Linked DNA regions of Mus musculus. The protein of the gene in region 2 interacts with the protein of the main gene of each other region in a pairwise test. Links are inferred from orthologs where the notes say so. Each region holds a gene or a part of one and is shown on either strand. Other genes may lie near its edges. The genes, in order: Psd4 and Ldlrap1.

Region 1 (3,500 bases), on a different chromosome or scaffold from region 2:
CTCTCCCTCCTCCTGCCCCCATACGAAACACAGTCCCCTTCCACCTTCAACTGAGACACTATGTGCTTGTCTAGTCTTTGTCTTACCATAGTGGTGCTAGGGTCTGGAGATAACCAGACCTATTTTATACAGCATTCAGTTACCATCCAGGAAAGAAACACAGGTTGCTCGTTCTTCTGTGTACCACAGTATAGGACAGGGTCCCCAAGGAGAGCTCTCCCTACACACTCTCCGCCCCCTGCAGCAGACACTTACTCTTCTTGCCATCAGCAATGTGATGCATCTTCCGAGCCAGAATGCCCTGCTTATAGGTGGGCATCGTGGGATCCTGAGCCATCTGCAGGAAGGGGCTGCTTATCTTGCCAGCTGAGGGAGAGGGTTGGTCCTTCTCGGGTCTGTCTGCATCTTCTTCATCTCTGGATGGCAGAGAATCAGGGTCGGGATGCTGGTAGACCAAGTACCCTCTGCTTCTTGAGGCACTAACTGTACCCACCCCACATCAGTTCTGGCTTCCCCAGCCTTGCTCAAGTTCCTCTGCTCTTCCCCAAACTGGTCCAGCCCCCCTGCTGTAGGCACCACCCACTCAGATGCAGAACTATGTAGACCCCTCAATTTCTCTAGTTCTCAGGTGGGCAGCAGTGGGTAGACAGGCTTAGTGGCAGGGATGAAGGGCAAGAAGGGGAGGAAACGGGAGCTCTTACATAGCCCATTCGAGCTTCTCACTGCGGATAGACCAGTAGAGGGCCTGGAACAGAAGAAGCATATAGATCAGCAGGTGGTCTGGTCACTCATGTGGTTGGTACACATCTATGGGCAAATGTACCACCTTTTTCCTCTACCCCATCATAGATGTTCTTCTCCAAAACCAGGCAAGCATTCATGATCCATTTCTCCACTTCTCCACCCATCCATCCCTGTGCTGGATACTGGAGACATAAAGATAGCAAAGAGGCCAAGGTCCTGCTCTGCAGAAGCCCAGTACATTCTAAACTAGTCCTTTGAGAAGGCGCATGAATTACCCACATACTGTCTGTCCAGGGGTTTTCTGACAAAGGATCATGGCTGAAGGACACACCCACAATAAATATTTGATAAATGAATGGATGGATGCTGGGTTAGAATTTTGCGGTCACGTCACAGATGCATTATTATGGATACATCTTGCTTGCTTTTGGAGCACTTGGTGTTTCTGGCAGGTATGTGGAGTAGAGGAAGCATCCAGTAGATGACCACCAAGTAGATAAAAAGAACCAGGGGTCCAACTGCTTATGGAGCTTGTGTCAGCTGGACATAGTGCATGGCCTGTGACAGCTTTCATTTCATCTTCATAATGACATAGTGAGGTGATCATTTCCTCCAGAAACAACTTGAATTGACCCAGGGACATGCTGCTGAAGACTAGGATTCAAACCAGGGACATTCAAGTCCCCAAACCCAAGATCAGGATTTTCCATACATGGAACTTTGTGTATCATGCATTCAATCCCAGGACAGGACAAGGCAAGGACAGTAGCACTTGTCAGAGTTCAAAGCGGGATAAAACCCTTCTGAGAATGTAATAAACATTTTCAGATGCGTAGAGTATGGTTCTATAGGTCCAAGGGTATCAATTTGTACAGACAACAAACCCCAAGATACCACTGATATTACCAGACAGAGACACAATGGCAAAACTTGTCCTCATAAAGACTTCATCCCAGCCGTGTCTAAGCTCTAGTTTCCCCCTTGGAACTAGAGTTCTAGGCTACAGACAGAGAAGAGAGAGAGGGCCCAGGTCTTGTGAGGAAGCCATACCTTCAGCAGCTCTTTGGGGAAGTTCCTGCCATCCTGCAGGCCATTCAAGTTGGTTACAAATTCCTGACAGCTCATGCTCTTGCCAATGTTCTGTGGCCGTGGAGAAATGGGACCGTTTGAACATTCCACTCTGACGTGTTTCCAGTCTCTGGTCCTCTCTTCCTGCCTCATGCCACATCCCCCTCCCCCATCCTCCAGACCCCCCACTTCTGTTCTTTAGCTGCTTCCCCACTCCTTACCTGCCCATGTAGGTCTGTGTTAAGGAGCATGATTGCACAGGTCAACGTGTGAACAGAATCTGCCTCAGAGAGAGAGGAAAGTACAACGCTCAATGGAATCTGGACCACACTAGGGGTGACCCCCCTACCCCCATTTCTCCACAGCCCCAATAGACTCCCAGCAGCTGCTGCTCAAAGGATCCCGTGTAAACACATGCTGTTTCTATGCCAACCCCAGGTCCTACCCCAGCCCTATTCCACCCTCCATACCTACTGAGGGGAAGGCTCCAGGATTGCAGTAATGGAAACGTTTGGAAAACTGGTAGAGAATTCGTTCCCGCTCCTGAGTCTCTCCACTGAGCACCAGGGCCTGGAGGAAACCACTGCCCAAGAAGGCCAGGATTGAGCAGAGCCACATTCTCCATGAACTTGGGACCACTGTCCCACAGCTGTTACTAACCACCCCACACACCCAACTCCTGCCTCCTCAGAGGTGCAGAAGGCCTTACCGGAGGGCTCTGTCCAGGCTCTGACCTTCGAACTGGAAGAAAGACAAGTAGGCCTCGGCTACAGCCCTGCTGAAGTCATTGCTGCAGAGGGCAATGGAAATTAAAACACTGCTGGGACCAGGCTGAGCTGTAGGTACAGAGGGGCCCCAGGGTAGCAAAAGCTAAAGAAAAGTATAACCAGGCTAGGTGCCAGGTCCCAAGATAGCAGCCAGTGGCTTTGCCTGCCCCTGCTGCTTGGTTCAGGGTTATCTGTGATAGGCCAAGTGGGATCTGGATGGGCAAGGGAAGGAGCCAGGGTAGAGAAGAGTTATTTCAAGGGAGACTGAGAATAAGCAGAGCTAGCTAAGTAGAGAGATGGGCTAGGGAGGAACCAGAACAGAGATAAGGGGACAAGCAGTAATAAGGCTGGAGGAAAAGTAGGGATATTGGTCAGGGGAAGGACAAGAGTGGATGGCCAGTGGAGAACACCCATGGGAAACTCAAAAGTCCCTTACTTCTTGCGTAGGTGGGCAGCTACTTCAGACTTCCGAAAACCATTCAGTTGATAGAGGCGCAGGGCTAGGTTCCATGCTCCCTTGTCATTTCTGATGTCATTAGCCAACTTCTCTCTAGACGATGATGGCCTCCAGCCTTCCTCTGGAGATTGAGCTTGGGGCATGGGGCTCTCAGGAAGCCTAGAAAAGTTCATTTGTGTCCTCACACTTGTGGTGCACATGAACATCAAGTGTTCTCCAAGGCCATGAGAAGAAATGGCCGAGCTCAGGGTTAGAACTATGACTCTTGGGATCTGGAGAAGCTGAACCCAGGTCCTCAGAATGGAGATACATGTTCAAAGCCAGCCTGGCCCGGCCTAGGCTAGGACCAGGAGATCTCAGAGAAGAGTTAGAGAAACAAGAGCCACAGGAGTGGAGCCAAGCTGGTGCCACATTTCCCTAGGTACCCACAAAGATTCTTCAAGCTATCTCATCTGGAGTGGCAG
Region 2 (4,579 bases):
GTATTTACATGCCTACAGGTAAATAAGAGTAGCTCCCCACCTACCATCACTTTACTGAACCAGGTACTTTGTATTTATCTTTTGGGGGTTGTCTCTGACAGCCTAGCACAACCCACAAAGGAATGAGGGTCACAGTGACCCCCAGGACCTTTAGGAAGAATATCGCTGAGCTGGGAAAAATTCTTGGCAAGGAGCTGAGATGCGATCTTTTGGCCAGTGGGGGTGGTGGCACACTCCTTTGTTCTCAGATCTCTGGAGGCAGAGGCAGGGAGATCCCAGAGTTTGAGGCCAGCCTGGCCTACAGAGTGAGTTCCAGGGCAGCCAGGGCTACATTGGGAAACCCTGTCTCATAAGGGGAAGTGGCCATGAGAAAGAAGAGTCCTCTTCCTAGGTGAGTGGGAAGCCAGCAGGTCGGTGCTTGGCAGCTCCAGCCAGGGTTCTCTTTCTCAGCAGGGGCTGATTCTACCCAGAATCCCTCATCTTTGCTTTGTCCTCTGAGCTTTTGTTTTGTTTTGTTTTGTTTTGTTTTTAATACTCATTATGTCTATGGAGAAGAGTCCCCGTGCATGTGTGGAGGTCACAATTCCTGGGAATCGGTTTTCTCCTTCCTCCAAATGGAGCCCAGGACTAGAACTCAGGTCCTCCCGCCTGAGAACAAGTCCCTTTTCCCATCTAACAGGCTCTGGCCTTTGATCTTAAACGCTAGACCCAAGGGCTGGATAGGTCCCAACCTCTCATGCTGGCCACACCCAAGGCTTTCCTGTCTAACCTGGTCCTGGGGGCCAGCTAGCCAAACCTGGGGTGGAGCTGCCCCCCAACAGCCAGAAAACCCAAGGAATAAGGCTAAGATCCCTGGGCTGGGGAAGCTCTGCCTCAGGCCATGCTCTAGGCCTAGAGTTAGGACTTCATTTCCCGGTCCTATCTCTAAAATGGGTCTGAAGATAAGAATCCCAAGCTTTGTCACCTCCCAGGAGCCAATGAGCTCACAGAAGTCAAATACCAGAGACAGAAGCAGGGGCATGCATTCACTGAGACCACCTCTAGGCAAGTAAGACAAGCACAGACACTCCCACAAAAGTTCCAGACCAAGCAATACTCTTCCCGGCAAAGGAATATTGCGAACTTGACACTTAACCAAAGATAGGCCAGGTTTCTGAGGAGCTCATTGTGAGCACAGAGCTTTGGGAGGAGCAGGGAGAGAGGAGAGCGCTGCATCCCTCCAGGGTACAGACAGGCTGAGGCCCCCATCTCAGAACTGGCCAACCTGATAAGAATCAGGTTGAATCCAGAGGACATGGACATAACTATATGGCGGTGCACACCTTTAATCCCAGCACTGGGGGATCAGAGGCTCAAAGCACACCTGGTCTACACAGCAAGTCCTAGGCCAGCCTAGACAACAAGAGACCTCATCACCAACCTGTAAAATAGACTAGCAACATCTTAACTGACACCTATCCCTGACCAGCCTCATTTAAACTCACTATCTGACACCTCATGACTGTGAACTTCTGATTTGTAGGCTTCCAACTCCCTAGTTCTGGGAGTACAGACACGAACCGCTACACCTGATTTGTTTAGTGCCGATACTGGAACCAAGAACTTAAAGTACCACGGGCTTCCTGCAAGCTAAGGCAAGCATCCTACCAAACACAACACACACATCCCCAGCCCCGCAGGAATTTTATCCCTATTTTCCAGGATAGGAAACAGAATCACTAAGAACAAGTGATCGGCCTTAAGGCTGGAGCTGGAAGGGAAACTTCTCACCATCCAAAATGTACCCTGATGCCCTAGATTCATCCCCTGCTTCCTGGCTCCCTCCCCTTCAGACCTCTTCCCCACCCACCCTTCTCTCTCTTGTCCCAGTAGAAAAACCACAGGGTTCGTCCACTGGAAGAGAAGGTCACACTCAGAAGCCCTGGTCACATCCCACGAATTTTTGAAGGGCTATTTTGGTAGTTAAGTGTGGAAGTCAGTACATGCCCTGCCCAAGGGGCCTCTGACCCCACCCCCGCCAGTAGGCACCAGCACGCGTTCCCGATGCCAGTCAGGGCTAGGAGGAGCCCACAACTGGAACACCACAGTGGGAATGAGGAGGGGCAGGGCGGGCTCCCGAGGCCCAGACACGCTGGCGCTCCAGGGACTAGGAAACTCGGGCTCCCCTGGTGGAGCCCGGCAAGGGAAGGTGCTGACGAGAAGCTGGGGGCGGGGAGGGGGTACTGTTAGTGGGAGAGGTGGGGGGCCCCAGGTAGGTGGCAGGTGAGGGTGTGCCGCGAGCCCGGGTACTTTGGCTTCACATCAGAAAGGGAAGGCCTGGGTGATCATCCCACGCGAATGAAAAGGGAGGAGGGACCTAAGCTAGGTTTCTCAGGCCTCGGGGGAGGGTGCCAGGTGACGGCTCTCCGAAAGTAACCCGAGAGGTGGCTGGGGGAGGCTCCTCTCCACCCTTCCAGACTCCCGGGAGAAATGGCAGCGAGTCTGAGTCTGCCTTTTGCCTAGGTGCCCAGGGACTCGGACCAGCCCCCAAGGAAAAGTACGGAGGAAAACAGGGTTTGTAAATAGCCTGGGCTCCAGCCTCGCCACCTGGACGCGTCCAGAGGGGAGGAAGCGGGACCCTGAATGGCACCCGGGCTGGGATCGCCCCTCGAGGCAGGGACCTGCGAAACTCCAGCGTCCAGAGGGGACCCTGTAGGTTGTGCTGGAGTGGGTAGAGAGGCTCTAGACGTCCCCTTCGCGCCACACCTGGGGACCCCGAGTTAAGCCTGATCCCTGTCGACCTGCCCCAGACGTGCAGCCGGACATGACCCCCGGCCCCGCCGCGCGGGGCGGGACGAAGCCACCCAGTCCACCTTGGCCCGGAGCTCGGCGGAGGCCCGACCCGGGGCGCATACACTCACTGCGGTGCCGGCCGCCCGCCCAGCTCTGCTTGGCCAGACTGGGGCTCCGGATTAGCGCGCGCCCCGCCGACTTGAGCGCGTCCATGGCCCGCTCCGGTTGTCGCCGCCGCCACTGACGCCGCTACCGCCGCCAAAACTCCTCCAGGAAAACTTTCCGCCGGGCCAGGCGGCGCGCGCCCGCTGCGCTCCTCCCCCGCCCTCCCCGCGACGTCTAGGGGCGGGGCCGGAGGGGCTACGCCCACCGCCACGCCCCTAGAGCGCAACCCCGCCCTTCCCGGACCTGGACCGGCTCCGAGGCTGCACGCGCGGTGTTCCTAAACTCAGAACCCACCAAGGCTCCCAGCCCAGCGCCTTTCCCCGTTCTCTAGCTACGGGATCCCATGGCCTTCTAGATAGCTCAGCTAAAAGGCACCTGGATACCGTTTCACCGATGGGAAGAGTGAAAGGTAGAACGATAAGGGTCTTGTTCAAAAATAAGAGAAAGAAAAAAACGATAGATGGGAAGGAGAGGGTCGAGTGGATAAAGGCACTTGCCGCCAAGCTTGACAATGATCCCGGAGACAACACGGTAGAAGAAGAGAATCAACTCCTGCAAATTGTCCTCTGACCTCCTGGCGCTAACAGTGGCACCTCCCCCATTGCTTACATACACAAAATAAATGTAAATAATTAAATAAATATGAGTGAGGGGCGCACCAAAGCAATGGGAGTCTTTGAACGAGGGAATGAAGGCCGCGAATTTTGCTGGGAAGGATCGGGAGTGTATTGGTAGATGCCCTTAGCAGCTTTCTTAGCTGTCCTCTGCCCCCACAGTCTCAGGGACATTGCAACCTTAGACGCAGACTCAGGCATGCTGTGTGACCCAGGCTGTCCTTCCCTGCTCTGAGTCATGATATCTGTCAAATGAAGCGTGATCCTATCTGTAGTGCACCCACCGGCCTGTCTGGGCAGGCCCTCGGTGTGTAGCCTTGCTCTAGCCTGTTTCCAAGGCAGCACCTGCTCCAGCCCCAGGAAGCTGGTAATTTAACTCTAGAGCCAGGAGCGATGGCTCAGACCGGTAATCATAGCGCTCATGGAGCTGAAGCAGGAGGATTCCTGCAAGTTCCAAGGCATCCTGGGGTATAGAGTGAAACTTTGTCTCAGAAAACCCAAATAACAAAGAATTCTAACTATTAAAAAAAAACCAAGAAAACAAAACAAAAAACCAAAAAACCCGCTAACCCTTGGTTCAGACTGTGCCCAAAGGAGTCTGGCGTTCACTACCTGGCTTCCAGAAGCTGGGCTTCAGCAGCGCAGCTGTGACCTCTGGCTAGTTTCAGAAGCCAGCAGATCTCTTCTGGCTGGGAGACACACATGCTGTGTGCTCTAGCTGCCCAAGGAGGCCTGGCTCACATTCCACTCTTTCTAAACCTCCTGTCTGTTCCAAGTGCTCCGCCTGAGTGGACAGTACAGCCAGCCATAGCCTCCTTTACAGCAGGAGACACGACATACCTGTGGTTCCCCAAGAGTCAGAGAGTGATGCCTCAGTGGGAATCCTAGTGGGGGGCATGGTCTGGCCATTATAAGTTTCAGCTGTAAAGGAGGCAAGAAGACCTTTCCCATGGAGCTGTCCTGTGTGACTGGAGTTAGAGGCGATAACTCCTGCCCCTGCCCTCAAAAATCCACCCACCTTCTCCAGG

What was found.
Region 1: the proteins of Ldlrap1 (region 2) and Psd4 interact in binary tests that used the Homo sapiens proteins (3 or more experiments, as listed by UniProt). The two-hybrid records come from large-scale screens. The link is inferred for Mus musculus from reciprocal best matches to the Homo sapiens genes LDLRAP1 and PSD4.

What each region holds. Positions count from the first base shown.
Region 1 is NC_000068.7:24,400,116-24,403,615, reverse strand, and holds part of Psd4 (PH and SEC7 domain-containing protein 4), read right to left. Parts: intron 3,196-3,500; coding exon 3,016-3,195; intron 2,603-3,015; coding exon 2,522-2,602; intron 2,396-2,521; coding exon 2,283-2,395; intron 2,093-2,282; coding exon 2,034-2,092; intron 1,885-2,033; coding exon 1,795-1,884; intron 746-1,794; coding exon 702-745; intron 417-701; coding exon 256-416; intron 1-255. UniProt on the Homo sapiens protein: Guanine nucleotide exchange factor for ARF6 and ARL14/ARF7. Through ARL14 activation, controls the movement of MHC class II-containing vesicles along the actin cytoskeleton in dendritic cells. Involved in membrane recycling.
Region 2 is NC_000070.6:134,764,916-134,769,494, forward strand, and holds the start of Ldlrap1 (low density lipoprotein receptor adapter protein 1), read right to left. Parts: upstream 3,090-4,579; 5' UTR 2,986-3,089; coding exon 2,901-2,985; exon of another isoform or gene 2,895-2,900; intron 1-2,894. UniProt on the Homo sapiens protein: Adapter protein (clathrin-associated sorting protein (CLASP)) required for efficient endocytosis of the LDL receptor (LDLR) in polarized cells such as hepatocytes and lymphocytes, but not in non-polarized cells (fibroblasts).